Linked DNA regions of Alligator mississippiensis. The protein of the gene in region 1 interacts with the protein of each later gene in a pairwise test. Links are inferred from orthologs where the notes say so. Each region holds a gene or a part of one and is shown in the gene's direction. Other genes may lie near its edges. The genes, in order: ZNF366 and PSMA3.

Region 1 (7,894 bases):
TTTTACTTGTGAAGGAACAATGGATTTAGGGGTATTTTACAGAGTGACTTTGAGATTTTTTTTTTATCAGGGATGTTTCAGTTTTCCAATAGGGAACACCAGAATTCCTGCTAGGGAGGCCAGTGGCAGGACCCTGCCTGCTCAGAGCTGGCATCGTGGACCCAGCTGGCCATGGCTGACCTCTTGGACATATGGGGCCAGGAGGACATGCTTTGACAGGTCAAAGCAGGCCACCACACCCAGAACATCTTCCGGGTGATAGCTGCCCAGATGGCCGGGCAGGGGGCACACATGGCAGTAGTGCTGCACAAAGGCCAACCCTGCAACCACAGTCCACTGGCAGCTGTCCCAGAGGGGCAGATACCTCTACCGGCTGTGCAGTCCCTATCCAAGTCTGGCAGGTGCACAGCAGGTCACAGCCAGGCAGCTGCCCTCACTGCCAGACTGCTGCAGTGGGTAGAGGGTGCAGGGAACTCTCAGGGCTGCTTCAGCAGTCCAGCTAGCACAAGGGGTAATGTCCCCAGGCACCAATTGGCTGGGCTCAACAAGCTCCTGAGAGCAAGTATCCCTGAGCTACTTGCCAGGGCGGCTTTTTATACTACTGGGGCCAGGATAGGGAAGCTTTTTATACTGCTGGGGACAGCACAGGTGCTGGCCCTGGGCTCTAGCTCCCCCTGGCTGAAGATCCAGGAGGAGCCAGACAGGGTTATTTTGCCCTTAGCGGCACAATTTGCTCCACAACAAAGTGCTGTCCGAGTACGTGCACTGAAGCAAAAAGCCCCGGCTCAAATTTGCACCGCTTCTATTTGAGCTGTTGCAAGTGCACGTGCTTGTATGTGTGGATGTGCCCTATTGGTCCAAGGACAGAGCCTTGGGAGACACCGCTGCCCACATCTCTCCAGGAGGAAACCGACCCATCTACCACCACTCTCTGGGTGCATCCCATAAGCCAGTTTTTCAAGCATCTTACTGTGAAAAAATCCACATCACAGCTACTCAGTTTGCTTGTGAGAATTGGGTGCAACACTGTGTCGAAAGCCTTTTTAAAATCTAAGTAAATAACATCTATCTCCACTCCTGCATCTAAGCACTTTGTGACCTGGTCATAAAAGAGACCAGGTTAGTCAGGCAGAATCTGCCTGCTATAAATCCATGCTGGTTGCCCCTTAACATTGTATTACTTGCTGACCCCCCACAAATGTGATCCTTGTCCCTAAGGAAAGTCTTGATCATTAGGGATAAGATTATCTTTCATTATCATGGGTTATATCACAGCACTTTCTAGCTTTTGCAACACCTCAAAAGATAAAAAATGAATTATTTCTTTAAAAAAAGTCAGAGATTGCTTGTACACACCACGGGGGTTTAATTTGGTTTAGTTCTCCCTAAATTGAAATGGTGGGTTTTTTAAAACACCATTTCAATTTAGGGAGAATTAAACCAGCCTAAACCCCTGTGGCGTGTACACAAAGGTAGGGGCCTAATCCTTACCTGCCTCTTCAGCACTGGGGGTGGGGAGCGAGCTGCCAGTGGGCTGCTCTGAGCTGCTGGCAGGCCAAGCAGTCCCAGGCAGCACCTGCCTGCTGGCACTGGGCCTAGGAGGTCCCGAGGGGTGCCACAGTGCTGGAGGGAAGCACTAGCTTCCCCACAGCTGCGGAGGGAAGCACTTGACTCTCACACAGCTTGGGCAGGTAAGCTCGGGGGAAAAGGAAAAAAAAAGATCATGCTCACCACTCTTTTTTTTTCTCCAGTGGAGCCTGCCTGCATGGGCTGCCGCTGGGTCCCACAACCCCTGAGCTGCATGGGGCCCACCAAGCCCCAAGCACATCGGCTTCTAGGGCCCTGTGCACTGTTGCACTTTGCAAACTAAAACACCTCAGAGGTGTTTTATCTTAGTATGCATCAAAGTAATTTAAAGCGGAATATGATGCCGAGTGTGCAAGCAGCAATGCCATTAAGTGGAATATGCCACCAAATGTGCAAACAGCAACACCATTAAATCAGTGCAAAAGGGCATTTAAGCCACTTTAAAGGCCAATTCTGTGGTGTGTACAAGGGCCCAGAGACTCCAATCCCAATGCTGAGAAATACATCAGCAGCTGCAACTTGCACCCAAATCGGTCTGCTTGGAGCTCTGTTGAATTTTGCCCAGTCTGGGCCAGGCTTAGGTCTTGCCTAGTCTTCTGTGACACATTCCAGATGGAGGACAACCCAAAATGTTAGCATTGTTTTCAGAGCTCTGGACTGACTCTCAATCCAGCGTACAAGATGCATTATCCTGATACAGCTCACAGATAAGATCAAAATGTTGGAAATTACTATCTCACTTACAGGACAATTAAATCTCTTTTTAAAAACACTTCCTAAACTTCTGATCTAACCATTAAACTGACTCAAAGCATGTATGTTTTCATGATCATTTCCCATACCCCGTTCACTTTCCTTATATTCAGTATAGGCATTTGACTGAACACTTTTACTCTTAGGAATGTCTAAGTATTTTTGTTATAGTAGATCCATTTGAACCCACTGGGCATGCCACCACATGCAGAGGCATGCGCTTGCAGCAGCAATAATAGTAACAGCACAAATTTGTGCTGATACTTTTTGCTGCAGTGCATGCCCCTGCATGTGCACTTTGGTGTGGGGCAAACTGCTCCACTTTGGGGAAACTGCCTTTTCCCCGCTCCTCTCAGCTCCCAGTATGCTAGAGGAGCTGCGGGACAACTAAAGGAGCGGAGACACTCTGGCTGCCTGCCAGAGCATGAGCATTCCCTCTAAGCTGCGCAGCGTGCACAGCCGCATAGGCATGCCTAGCAATGCGGCATGAGTGCGCTTGCGCAGCTGCACATACCACACAGCTTAAAGGGAATGCTGCAGAGCATCTCCTGGGAGGACCAAGCCTCTATGTCTGCCGGTGCACACGTGCACCACGCTGCTTTTTTCGCTTTTATTTTTTTTTTTTTAGCTACCGGAATTTCCCAGTAGCAAAATTTGTCCCTGAACTGCAAATTTGCAGCATGGGGACAAATTTGTATAATGGGATTGTATAAATTGCAGATCTCTACAATCAAGCCATTGCTAAGCCGCCTCTATCACTTCTGGAGATAGTTTTGGTACTCTTTCGTTGCATAAAAGGACATTGCATGTCAAAAGGCTTTATTTTCCACATTGGCTTGCCAGCCTATCACTTTTTGTTATTGTATAATAAGGGAAATATTCATTTTTAATAATGGATGCAAACCAAGTTTTATTTCCAGTTATAATAAATAGATTTTTACCAGAACAAGTCCATTGACTTCAAAAGCATTCATTCAGAGTTATATCCTGGTAACTGGCCTTATGAGGGAATTTTTGATGCAGGCTTTTTTTTTTCAGTTTTTATGCATGATGAAATATAATTGTTCATCAGAAGCCATCCTCCCATTGGCTACTACACTGCTATAGTAGCAGGGTGCAGAAATTCCTTTATTTCAATGATTCCTGAAGACAGTCCAAAGAGAAATGTGAAAACTGTAATGCCATTAACGTTTGTGTTAAAAAAAAAGTTTAACTTCACAAATCTATGGAAGAAAGATGATTTTCCATTGGTTGATTTGGGACTTTTGGTTTGGTAAATGTCAGCAGCCATTAAAAATTCAGTATGGGGCACAGGGGGCCAAATTATCACAAGTATAATTCTAACAAATTGGTCACTGGCTGAGACCAAAATATATTGATATACCTGGAAAAAATAAAACAAACTAGACCTAAAGCATGATAAATAGTCTTTGCCTTGACAAACCAAGGTGCCTTTTCATCTGTCTTTCATTTCTTACCTTATAAAACCAAACTAATGATTTGTTGTAACCACAAAAGCTTTCAAATTACCCTCAATGTGTAATTTTTGTCAAGTATGCAGTAAATTTAAATTTGCACTTCTTTTCCTCACACCAATGGAAGGTTTCTTCTTTTTTGTACCCATGTATGTATTTGTTTTGTTTTTACTGTGTCATATAAGAGTTCTCCTTGTTTGTAGCTAAGGATTAGGTTATCTGTGCTCTTTGGCTAACACAGTTCTGCACATGAGATATGGGCATCTAAGTTGTAGCCACTTCTTTTGGAACTTCATTCGTTTTGATGTCGTTGCATACAGTGAGCGATAAATTAATTCTTATGAAGCCAATACTGCAATTATAATATTTAAGGAATTCCTTTTGGTTTGGTTATATTTATTTTTCCAAACATTTTGTTTGAGAGAAAACGAGATTGCTATCTACTGTTTCCTTATTTTTTGCAGGAAAGCAAAGGGTTGTTGACTTCCTCTCCCCTCCCTTCCTTCCTTCTTTCTGAAGGTACTGTACTCATCTGAAAAAAGAGAACGAAATGATTGTTCCTGTTCTCTTTCTTAAGTTGTTTCAGACACTGTCCCTACTAGTTTTCAAAGTTTATTGCAATCTCCACACACGGGGGGAGAGAGAGAGAGTACAGAGAGTGAGAGCGATTGCCAGCAAGAGAGCAGGTAGGGAGTATAGGGCAGGGATCATTCCAGATTCAGCAACTGGTAAGTTATTCATGAAAGTATTTTTGCTTAATGCTTTAGAAGTTTAATATACACCTTTATATTCAGGAAAGTAATTTATCAAATACAGATTTTTCTTGTTAAAAAGATAATGATTGTGCACACTGGCATACAGTATATATTAAAACTTTGGATATCAATAGTCTGTTTTCTCGATACCACCATTAGTAGCATGAAGCTTAATCTAGGATATGTTTTCAATTAACTTGATGATATTTGCAATGTTAAATTGTATAACTCCTTGCTTATGAAGCTGGATAGGTGACTTCTTACCAGGAGTCTCTGTAGCTTATTATAGGCTTCATTCACTCTCTGTTGAAGTTTTGAGCAAGCTTCACTATGGCCATAGCAGAGGTAGAGATAGGTAAGTGGGTAATGTATGACTAGTGTGTTTTATGTATCACCTGCCATTAACATCCCAAGAATTAATTAAAATGGTAAATCAAGCTACTGAGCTTCAACCAGTGTGTCAGAAATGAGGATGAATTGGTTTTTTTTATAAACAGAACTGAATTATGTGCGAGTATATGTGTGTATATCTCAGCACTTGTGCAAATGTATATAGTCTGAAAACTGTGCCATTTGACTACTTAAGCAAATTCCAGTTTCATTTGAAAACCAAAGACTTAACATGACAAAGTATGTGACCAATACTAAGATTAATTACCAAGGCTCATGAAATGATAGACTAAAGTGCTGTGCATGCATTTACAACCCTTATCTACCACTGGCTTGTCAGCTACAGTTTCCGAGTATCAGATACAAGATATTTAATGTAAGCTAGCAAAGGTTTACTGCACAGCAAATACTGAAATTTAAGCATGCATTTTATTTGTTGTAAAGCAAGTGAACAGAAAGATCAGCAGAGACAACAAAGATTAGAATAGGTGATCAGATTTCTGTGAAAAAGCCCAATCATCTCCTAGGTTAATTCTTATTTGCAAGTGGAGACTTCCTGATCTTTCGTACCTTTTGTTGGATGTTTAAAATCTCAACAATGTTGTTCTAAATAGGGTGCGGGAACAGGGCATCCCAGAACTGATGTAGACAGTCAGCTTTGGCATCTAGTAGAGCCTCTGAAGTCTGTGGGTACTAGAAGTGACTGCCTTTTCTCAGGAGAGGCATATTTTGCCCTTCTGATTGAACAAACCGTTCAACAGATCCTTTCACCCTCCCTCTGCCTCCTTTCTATGAGTTTTTCCATTGCAGGTAGTGATTTACCCCAAATTACTAAGATCTCCCTTACCCCCCCCCGGCACATTTTAACATAGTGATAACAGGAGGAGTAACTGTTTACAGATATCAGTAGTGAAAAGCATCAGCTTTGTCTAGTTTGGTGCAATTATGAGCTTTATTTAGATCATATTTCTCCCACAAAGAGTTATGCCACTATTATAGAGACCTCTTTTCAAATGCACACATGAAATAGGTTGGGCATGTTTTTCATTTGGGAAATTGGTTCCCATTTAGCTGATCAATTGTCTGTTTTTCCTGACCAAGCGTGGATTTAAACAATCAAATGGGGATTTAAGCACCTATTTTGGCAACTGCATTTGAAGATTGGATCTTCACCTCTACATCAAACAGAGAAGCCACTTGCTTAATCAACAGGTTCTGTGGTTGTTAAAACAATAAATAAATCTCAAACTGCCAAATGACCATGAAAATAGCAAACACCTCTAAGTTCTGAACTAGTTGGATCCAGAAGTTTGTTTCAGCCTACAGTAAAGACAGGAGCCAACTACACAGTTTATATTACAAAGTTTGAAAAATTATAAAAAATCATGGATGTTTGAGGTCATTGTTTGGGTTCATGCTTCCAGGCCTTTCTTCAAGAGCTCTAGGAAAAAGGCAATTCTACAAGTCTAAATGAAAAAATAAAACCACCCTTCCCCAAGCATAATTTATATTTGTAGTAATTAGTCAAAAGTAATATTATGCTATTTTAAAACTCACTTCCTCATTAATATTCTATTAAAATAGCCCTGCAGTGTAATACTGCATAATTGAATTGTAACTGGAAAGTGGAAGCTTTGCATTTATTCTTGGATTTCACCTTTCAGTTTCATTTTTGTTTGATGCAGTATTTCAGTTTTGGTCACTTGCAGCTTTTTTTGTACATTTTTATTCTAAGCACATGACAGTAGCATTTTATATAAAGACAAATTTATAAAACAGGTGCACTTCTATTTGAGAGTTCAGGAAAGGGAGATTTTTGGTTGATATGTTCTTAGCTCACATTGAGAGAGAGTAACAGGCAGAGAAGCATCCCTTATGAAAACAAAAAACTTTGTACAGAATAGTAACTGGTTTATGGCAAAAAGTTGAACGTTTGTGAAATGTGGTTTTAGTGATTCATTTCTATACATCATTAAAAAAGAAATTGTTTTCATGGAAGCAATGACAGATATTTTTTTAACATGCTTAAAAACTTGTTTTTTAATAAAGATACTAGTAACTTTTGAGAATTGTTAAAGTTGAACCATTTCATTTTAAATAATGAAAAAGTCATCTTGAAAAGTACTTCAATAAAAAATGACAATATGTTCTCATGGTAGATATACATATAAGTGAACCCAATCCCACAGCCCTTAATTTCTGTGGGCCCATGGAAGTCCAAGGACAAAGAACTTAATCAAAAACCCATCAATGTCAATCGGTATCTTTCTGTAAATTTCAGTAGGCCTTCTTTTGGGAGGCAAGAACTGTGGACTTAGGGGTAGATTCTCTGCTAACATAAATTCATGTCAATCTGTGTGTTACCAATGGCAGCGCATAGATTTTCATCACTAGAGGAACCTGTTCTCTGGCACTACATGTTTAAAACACAATATTTCTTCTCACATTTTAGCATCTATTTTATGGTTTTTCAGCAGTAGGAGAATTCAGTCATTTAATTATCTGGTATTTTACACAGAAATCTAGAAGAATCTCAACCTAGTGCTTATAATGTAGATATACAAAGTGCCTAGAGCACTGGAGGACACATATCCAGAAGAGATATGCATTGGTGTGCCAGCATGATGCACGTGTGCGCTGGCAGACATTGAGGCTTGGTCTATTTGTGAGGTAGAATTATGATGGAAGAAAAATTGATGGTAGGTTCAAACCAACAGCTCAAAACAAAACAAACTTACAGCATAGATAACCAATCATAGAACATTCATCACTGTGGCTCTGATATAGTAAAGACACCTGTATGAGTGGACCATTTCAGAAATGCAGTAAGTGCTATATACAGCCAGAAAGTAGTTGAAAGAATTAATTAGTATTTAATCAACAGAACTTCGACACATTTATTTCCTGAAAGCCATATTTTCTCCTAAGCATCTT
Region 2 (8,848 bases), on another chromosome or scaffold:
AGCATTTGCAGTTTAGTGTGCTCAGACAAAAATGTTGTTGTTTTAATAATTTGGATGCTTCAGCTAATAAACTGATTTTATACAGTAGAGTAGAGAATAAGGATGTGGGCAGACATATCGTCTGACACTGATGTAATGGTTACAAAGGGAGCCAAACAAACTGTACTTCAATCCTGTGTCATTCAGAATTTAAAGCGACTTGGCTCACTTACATCACTATGGGAGCCTGCAGATCATAACAGTTAAAGCAGAAGAACTGAACACCAATTCCCCCACAGTTTAAGGGGTTGAAAGTTTTATGTCTATCTATAGAGACACAAAATGTGGACATAAATGTACACTTTATTTCCTCCTGTTGTGGTGTTAAATATCTATAAAAATCATTAACTAAGGCCTGGTTGGGGTATAGAGCCAGTGGAACGAAATGTGTTCATTATGATGGTACCAGCTGTCTCCATTTCCTGATGAGACATACCAGTTGACTCATGCAGTGGTTTTCAACCTAACATCGATGGCCAGTCCCAACCCGGTGCCCCTCACTCCTGACCCAGGGTGTGGGGCACGAGGGGGATGAGTGGGATACAAGGGGCCCCAAGCAGCCCCTTGCAGCCTGCAAGGGAAAATCACGGTTGCCCATGTTTTTCTTCTTCAGAGGAGAATCCATTTTTAAGATTTGTTCGTAACCCTTTCATATATTCCTGTGCCCTGCTGTGTTGAGAAACGGTGAACTAATGTATACTGACTTCTCTGTGGCCAGTGCAAACTTACCCTCATGCATATGTGACATACTTGCACTTACTTACAGTGCTGGGTGTCTGGGAAAAGTTTATTAACCTGAGAAAAGGAGGTACCTGTGGAAGCACTTGGAGATTGATTGGGATTGGGCCGCAGGCATGTCTGCTCTCCATGTGGTTATGCCTGTAATAAAGGCACCTTGCCTCCACAGGGATCTGAACTGAGAGGGTCAGGTGCCAAGGAGCCCTGTACAGTGAATGAAGAGATCTTGTGCTTCCCAAGGGCCATCTCAAGCATCTACCATTAAGCAGGGAGGCACCTGTGGCCAGCCAGTAGGAACTGCTAGGCACAGCGATGTGTCTGAATTCCTGCGTCTACCTCGGGGCTTTGAGGAAGTAAGCTCCGTTCTGTTGAGATCCAGATCGCTCGGAGGGACAGTGCCTGCCTGCACCACAATGCATTGAGTCCAGTTTAAAGCACGGTATCCATCATTCCTTCTTGAACAAATGATGATGATGCTGGTGCCCACTTCTGTCCAATAGCCTAGCAGCAAGGAGACTTCCCTAGGAAACCAGAGACCTTGGACTGTAGGCCCTCCTGACCCTGAAGGGACTGAGACTCACATCTTTGAGCTCCTAGTAGAATGCCCTTGTCACCAAGTTATGGGCCTTCCTGCCTGGCTGCTCATTTAGCCGGCAACGAAGCCCAGGTGAATTCAAAATGTGAGCAAGCAAACAATTCTACTAGTCTAGAAGGAGGCAGACACAGACTTGGCACTCACAAAGGTATCTCGGCTGATCTGTTGTAACTGCGTAGTCTGTCCACATCTACCATGCCGTAAGTGAAGCTGGACCCACAATGGTTTGCCGCATATAAAACAAGTGATGAATTAATTGCAATTTAGTTTCTGTTCTGCCAAGGGGTATAGCACACAAGAAGCAGTTGCATTGGATTCAGCTGGACCATGGGAGATTTCTTCCCCCCCCCTTTTTCAATCAGTATAATTATTTCACGTGTCTGTGCCAGTGGTTCTCAATCCGGTGTTGCAAGAGCACCTCAAGTGCTGCAACACAGGCACCGCTGCTGTGGCCAGGTAAAAGTGCATGCAGGGCTGGGGCATGCCCATGCTCCTCCTGCGTTACAGTTCTCTGATGAGCCTAAAGCTGGCAGGAGAGCTACTTTTGTGCTGCAGCCCTCCCTCCACACCCCCACGTACGTTCACTCCTCCCGGAAGCAGAAGTACGTGGGACAGTTGCAACTGCCCATGCGTCTTTGCTTCCAGGAGCCCCTGTGCAGGTTTGGAGCAGGAAGGGCTGTGGCAGCAGCTGGTACCTGGAAGCTTGCTTTAGGCTTGTTGAATAACCCTAGTGCAGGTTGAGCGTGCATACATGCTGTGCCCCTTCCTGGTCTGGCCGTGCATGAGTCACACGGAGCACCTTTACCTGGCTGCATTGGCAGCCGCAGCGTCCGGTTGAGAATCAGAGGTAAACTGAAGCAGCACAACGGTGCCTCTGAACCGAGGATGCTGCCGCATTCAAACCGGTGGTGGAGGGATGCCTGCCATTTAAGAAGCTTGAGAGCCACTCTTCTGTGCCTTTAATCACTTAAGACGGGTGCGGGCTGAAGCGAGCCTGGGTGAGCTACAAAATACGTTTTAAAAAGGGTATTTTCAGCCTTTTGTCTTTCCTTTGGGCATCTTGAAATGGCTGAGATTTACGAGGCTGGCTGGGGAGGAGTCAATATGGCAAACCAACACCAAGTGTCTTTTTTTTGTCAACAACGCAGCAGCCATCTTTGGAGCACTTCAAGACATCCTCGGAAGCCGCTCGGTGTCCAAGGAATATTATAGCCAGACGGGCCGCATCCCGGACTGGTGCTGTCTCAACAACCCTCCTTTGGAAATGATGTTTGACGTCGGCAAAACACCACCGCCGTTGATGAAGAGGGCTTTTTCCACAGAGAAATAAGTGTCTAAGCACTACGCTGGTTTTCCTTTGACTGTTTCAGGTGCATGTAACAATGTTGCTCTTCATATGTTAGGTAAATTATGTAACACTTTAAAATGAATGACACGTGTGTAGCTTGGGAGCGTGGTGCTGGGAAGGGCTACGCTGCAGATGGATCCAGCCACGTCTAGTCGAAAACCAGATGGGGTACTCTGCTTGTCTCTTTCTAGGGAGCACATATAACCGGCAAAAGTTGTTACCAAGTCGTCTGTCCTATTTATATGTACAGTAGATGAAATTAGGAGGCTTCGTTTTTACTTTTAAATCAGAAGAATAGAGGAAACTCTGTTACCAGAAATGTCTGTTGAATTTTCTCTGCCAGACTGTGTGTGTCCACATTAACAAACAGTTGGCTCAAAGATGCATTAAAATATCTTCTGAAAACAGTTTTGTGATCACAAGGTCTGTGGAAAGACATCAAGGGCTAGGCCTAAAATTCCTATTTTCAGTGATTTGCTTCTGCCAGACACTGTCACATGCATTGTCACTCGAATCTACCTGCTAAAAACTTTTTACCTGAACATTTAGAAATTATAAAGGAGAAGCTTAATAATGGAACTTCTCTCCCCACTTCAAATAAAATGGAAACTTCCTCTGGCATTTTTTAAACACGTCCTCCTATAGCAGTAAGTATGAAATACAAATGCAAAATTAATCTCTATGGTAACTGTTGTACAATAGCTACTAATATTCAGACCAAAAACAAAATGCTTCAGATTCGTTAACAGGGACTCAAGTGACCATTATTTTTGGCTTCTGCAGTCCGGTTTGTTTTATAACTGGCAGTGGGATACTCCATTTTCATTGCATGTCCCCACAAACCTTGTAACAGTCGGAGATTTGGGGCATCTCTACTGTACTTTAATTACTCCAAAGATCTGTTGTTTCATAAATTCAGTCTTAAAACTCAATCTTGTATCTGGATATGCACAGCATGCTATTGTGGCACTTAAAGTAGATGTAGTGTTACAGTGTGTAGGTGTGTGAAATACTGGGGCCAGTTCTGGTGTTCGCACCAAAAAAGAGCCTGAAAACTTGGGTGGTGTACAGAAAGTATTTGAGGGATGGAAAAAACGCCTTAAAAAGCAAGAGGCGACTTGTTTGCAAGGTGTAAGCCCTTTTTAAAGGGAGAACCCAGCAGAGGAAGGTGCAGCAAAACCCAATGGGAAGGCAAACCAAAGTAAGATACTCTATTGAGAAATAAGACAGATTTTTCCCACGGGAGTCTATTAACCAGCAGATGCTTGGTGAGAGCTAGGCAGACACGGCGGAGCTGCAGGCGCTGGGCTGTTGCCCGAAGCAGAAGTGAGCCTTCCTGCGAGTCGCTGCCTTGAAACAAAGACGGAGAAATTGGGCGAGGGCAAAGGGACTCGGAGCTCGAGTGCCAGGGAGATTTGGGCAGCCGGACTCTCCCCGACACGGGGCAGCACGGTGGTCACTGCTCTGCGGGGAAACAGGCCCTGAGGCCCAGCTGCGAAGGCTGGGCTGTGGGATGGGGATGCTGCTGCCCCGTGGGCCCTGAATGGCGGCAGAGGCTGGGCCTGATGCTCTGACGGCCTCTTCTGGCTTTCAAGGCTGCGCAAAACCCTACTGGAACGGACCCCTTGCTACAAGCATTACGGCTCGCTCGGCCTCAGCTGCTGGGGAGTCGCAGGCGCTTGAACGCCAGCCTCTGCAGGCCGTGGCGCTGACCGGCTTCCCGGTGCTCCCCTCTCCCGGCACGATCACGAGCTGCCCAGAGTTGGGGCTCCCGATGCCCCAGGCTCCGGTTCTTCCGGTTACGCAGCGCTGCCCGCGCTACCGCTCTTCTACTTCCCACCCCGGAGACGTGCGAAGCTGGGCCCCGGCTTGCCTCCCAGGAGAGCGCGCGCGGGGTGTCGCTCCAGCGTGGGCCTCCTCTGCGTGCCCTCGAGGGGAGGAGAAGGAGCCCAGCGCTCCGTATTTGTAATCCCAGGCGTGGCGGGGGCTCCCCAGGGCGTGGGGTTTGTTTTGGGTGTTATTTCCAGCGGCCGATCCCAGTCCAAACTCGAACTCGGGAGCCGTGTCTACAGGTGCCCGTGGGCTGTGTCACTTCAACCAGGCCGGGGGGGTTGGATGCTCCCCGCACCCACGCGGCCACATCCCAGACCCTGAGGCCTGTGAGTCCGGATGCCCCCAGCCCGGGCTGACATTATCCCGAAGGCCCAGCAAGGGTCAGCCGTTGTTGCGTGTACTTTGTGCCCTGAGCTGTAACCGGGCTTGCTGCGGCACACCCACAGTGCCCTGTGGCATAGGGAGTGGGCGAGTGCCACCGTGGGCAGGGCAGTGCCAAGGGACAGGGCTGGCCTTGTAGCCGCACCAGTGTCTGGCAGCTCCTCGGGCAGGTGCTTTTCATCACTGCTCGGGGCACAAAAAGCACGTGCGTCCTTCCCCGGGCAGCGCAAAAACCTATGCGCCCAACGTGGGGCTCGAACCCACGACCCTGGGATTAAGAGTCCCATGCTCTACCGACTGAGCTAGCCGGGCCCTGTGACCCAGCCTCTTCCGGAGGCTTCTTCAGAATTCTACGCCTCTCTGCGCGTGCGCGCGTAACTCCGGAAGTCAGTGTTTGTCCTCCCCTTGGAGGGGGGGCGGGGGAAAGAGAAACAAGTCAGAACCCGGCTGCGCATGCGCGGCCATGACTCTGCAGCCGAGCTGATTGGCCAGTTGCGCGGGCCAATGGGCGCGCGCGTTGTTGGGCAGTGGGGGCGCTGCTGTGACTGGCGCCGCCGCCATGAGCTCCATCGGCACCGGGGTGAGTGCTGCCGGGCCGGGCCGGGCCTGCCCCCTTCCCCCCATTTCTCCTCGGGGCGGGGCGGGGCGCCGCTGAGGCACCGGGAACCGGCAGGGTGGGGCCGCCCGTCTGCCGAGGGAAGACCGGGGCAAGCTGGGCCCGGCTGGGCCCGGCGGCGCAGCGTGTGCTTTGTAAGACGGTGCCGACGAGAAGTGCTTTCGGAAGGTCCCGGGAGCACATCGGTTCTGAAAAGCTGCTTTTCTGGAGTGGCGAGGGCCTGGCCGGAACCAAGCGGGGTTTGGGTTGGGTTTTTTTGGTGATGCCTCGTATTGGACCGACTCTGTAGTTGGCGGGCAGGTCAGGAGAGCTTTTGGGTGCAAGCCGCCCTTCAGGTTTGCACGTTCAGTTAAACGCGATGAGCAGCCTTCCTTTAAACAGAAATCTTCCTCTTCCCATCCTTCACGTGGTAAAACACAAGCGTCGCTCTTGCTCCTGCTGAGCCAGGAGGTGTCGCTGGCGACCGGCCCGGCCCCGGCCCCGGCCCCGGCCCGAGCCGCCCAGCTCCCCTGTCCGCCTCTTTGCTCGCTGCCCGACTCCCGGGACGTGGACGGAGCCGCCGGGAAGCGCATTGAGGTTGTTCTCTGCCGCTGCGCCGTCCACAACGTCGTCGTCCTTTCCCTTTGCGAACTGCCTGAAGAGCAATTTTAAAAAAGCATTGCAAATGTTAAAAATACTACTAAGAACCGCACACAAAGTTACAGCCCGTGTGAATCTGTTATCTGTGCTGTAGCCTCGAATCCCTCAGGTTCCTGCGGGGCCCTGTCCTTTGATGGGTTTCAGCTTCAGTATGACTGTCCCTGAAAGAAGTGATTTTTTTTTTAATTGCTTTTAATTAAGCCAGACAACACTGATTCATTTTGTTTCTTTATGTATTAAAGGAAACAATTGATTTACATGTTTTGTATTTTTGTCCTCTTTATTCAATCACCAAAACCCATGTTAAATTTAGCGCATCCTACTTTTTGCAAAACATTTAAGACTTTTACAGAAGAGTGACTTAGTGCTGCTTGCAATATGAACTGTATCGATAACGCTTTTATGCTGAGTGTGTGTTTGTCTTCTACAGTATGACTTGTCGGCTTCCACGTTCTCTCCAGATGGCAGAGTATTTCAAGTTGAATATGCCATGAAAGCTGTGGAGAATAGTAGGTAAGACAGAAAAGTTTTTTCCTCATCAGTTTCTTTTTAAAAAAAACACCCAACAAAAACGAACAAAAACCAGTGGAACTAGAGGAGATGAGTATGGTGACATAGCAGTGAAAATTACAGCGTCAAAATAACTGATGAACAATTGTGGCCCTGCCTTTCTGTCAATAATGTTTTCTGATAAAATATATAAGGCATGTAATGACTGTTCATTTTGGCAGGACCAAAAGCATAAAATAATGCTGTGAGAGAATGCGAAGGGTAAGAGTAAAATTATCGAAGCGTACTAAGGATAATAAAGCCTTATGCTTTGGTGCAAAAGCTGATTGCAGGGTTTGCTCCTGGATGGGAGATAATGGAAGTTTGTCAAAGCCCATTGTATAGATGGTGAATTGAGGTGCTGAGAAATGACTTCCCAAAGCCATGCAGGCTTGCAATAACATCACTGGAGGTTGCCAGTTAATGTACCAAACCTACAGTGTTGGCTTCCTTAAGAGTACCTATGTTTTTACAGATGTTGTCCAAGAAGCAGCCTGCAAATATAATTTTATATCCGCTGTGTACAGCTTGCAGCTTGGCTTGACTGTCACCAGCAAATGGCGAGGAAAGTGTTTGAGAGGAATTGAGTCAGTCTGTATGCATGGACCGTATCCGGCCCTGATCCCGACTAAGGGATCTGTAGAAATAAACTGTTCACAACCTCCAGTTAGTAGCAGTATATCATCTTGACAACATATTGCCAACTTGGTGACATTATTAAGGGCCTCAACCTTTATAATACCATTCTAAAACTAAATACGGTGCATCCTGAAATCTGAAACTTGCAGCCAAAACTGTTGTCTTCTCATTTTGAAAAAGGCATGTGCCAGCCTGTAGTTAATACAGTGGTCAGGTTTTTGACAACAGAAATACCACTCGGGTCCATGTGGTCTTCCAGGAATACCTTTTGAATTCACTTGGCTGGTGGAACTCGTAGTGTTGGCTAGGTTCTGTTTTCCTCTCATGTTCTGTATGTTGGCGGGGAACATGCATGAGATGCCTAAATGGAGTAGGCAGGGGTTGTAATCCTTGTGATCAGCTGATGTCCAGACATCCTTGGGATACTTGTCCAACTACCTGGATGCACTTAGGAGCTGTGCTTCTGTTCCCCTGGTGTGTTTGTTGGGTGAGATGGAGACTCATGTAAAATAGCACAGTTTCCTTGTAAGATGCCCCCAATTCAAAGCTACAACAAAGCTGTCCAGGCTCCAAGAGAATTGCTTTCCATCTTCCACATTTTCCAAACTGTTTAGCTCTAGATGTGCAGTGTGTGTGAATAGTTTCCACATGTGGGCAAAGGGAAGGTGGGAAAAAGGAAAATGCTAAAACATTGCTCTTTTTAGAAAGTTTCAGGGGTTGCAATGCATCTTCAAGGTAGAACTGAAATCATGGCATTCTGTTGTACTTATTGCTGTGCACACTTATATGACAACACTACCATTTAATCTCCCAACCCCACTCCTAAAGCTTTAGTGTTTTTTAAAGACTGTTGTTACATTTGACTTATCTTTCAGTACAGCAATTGGCATAAGATGTAAAGATGGTGTTGTATTCGGAGTAGAGAAACTCGTCCTGTCCAAACTTTATGAAGAAGGCTCCAATAAACGTCTTTTTAATGTTGATCGACATGTTGGAATGGTGAGTATTATTTGACGCTGTATGTGTTCTCCTAAATCTATCCTACAATTTACAAACAGAATTAAACCTTGGTCACTGAGTTACAAAAGGTGTCTGCATTTTGACTGGCTGTTAATGCTCTTCATTTCAGGCAGTGGCAGGACTCTTAGCAGATGCACGTTCTTTGGCAGACATAGCTAGAGAAGAAGCCTCTAACTTTAGATCTAACTATGGCTATAATATTCCACTGAAGGTAAGTGACTGGTGCTCCCAGTATAGTTCCTTAGATCTTGTAACACGATGATCTATTTAAATCGCCTTGAGGCATGTTTACTGTCATAAATGAAGTGTTTCAAAACCCTTCCTCCCTTTTCCCACAGCATCTTGCAGATAGAGTGGCCATGTATGTACATGCCTACACACTATACAGTGCCGTGAGACCTTTTGGCTGCAGGTACATCTTTCAAATATATGTATACTCTTTATTTACTGC

Evidence for each region.
Region 2: the proteins of ZNF366 (region 1) and PSMA3 interact in binary tests that used the Homo sapiens proteins (3 or more experiments, as listed by UniProt). The link is inferred for Alligator mississippiensis from reciprocal best matches to the Homo sapiens genes ZNF366 and PSMA3.

Annotation. Positions count from the first base shown.
Region 1 is NC_081826.1:252,115,404-252,123,297, reverse strand, and holds the start of ZNF366 (zinc finger protein 366), read left to right. Parts: upstream 1-4,378; 5' UTR 4,379-4,543; intron 4,544-7,894. UniProt on the Homo sapiens protein: Has transcriptional repression activity. Acts as a corepressor of ESR1; the function seems to involve CTBP1 and histone deacetylases.
Region 2 is NC_081825.1:295,235,629-295,244,476, forward strand, and holds the start of PSMA3 (proteasome subunit alpha type-3), read left to right. Parts: upstream 1-5,411; 5' UTR 5,412-5,493; coding exon 5,494-5,514; intron 5,515-6,619; coding exon 6,620-6,702; intron 6,703-8,252; coding exon 8,253-8,376; intron 8,377-8,506; coding exon 8,507-8,608; intron 8,609-8,735; coding exon 8,736-8,809; intron 8,810-8,848. Other genes in the region: ACTR10 (actin-related protein 10), read left to right, coding at 2,521-2,702. UniProt on the Homo sapiens protein: Component of the 20S core proteasome complex involved in the proteolytic degradation of most intracellular proteins. This complex plays numerous essential roles within the cell by associating with different regulatory particles.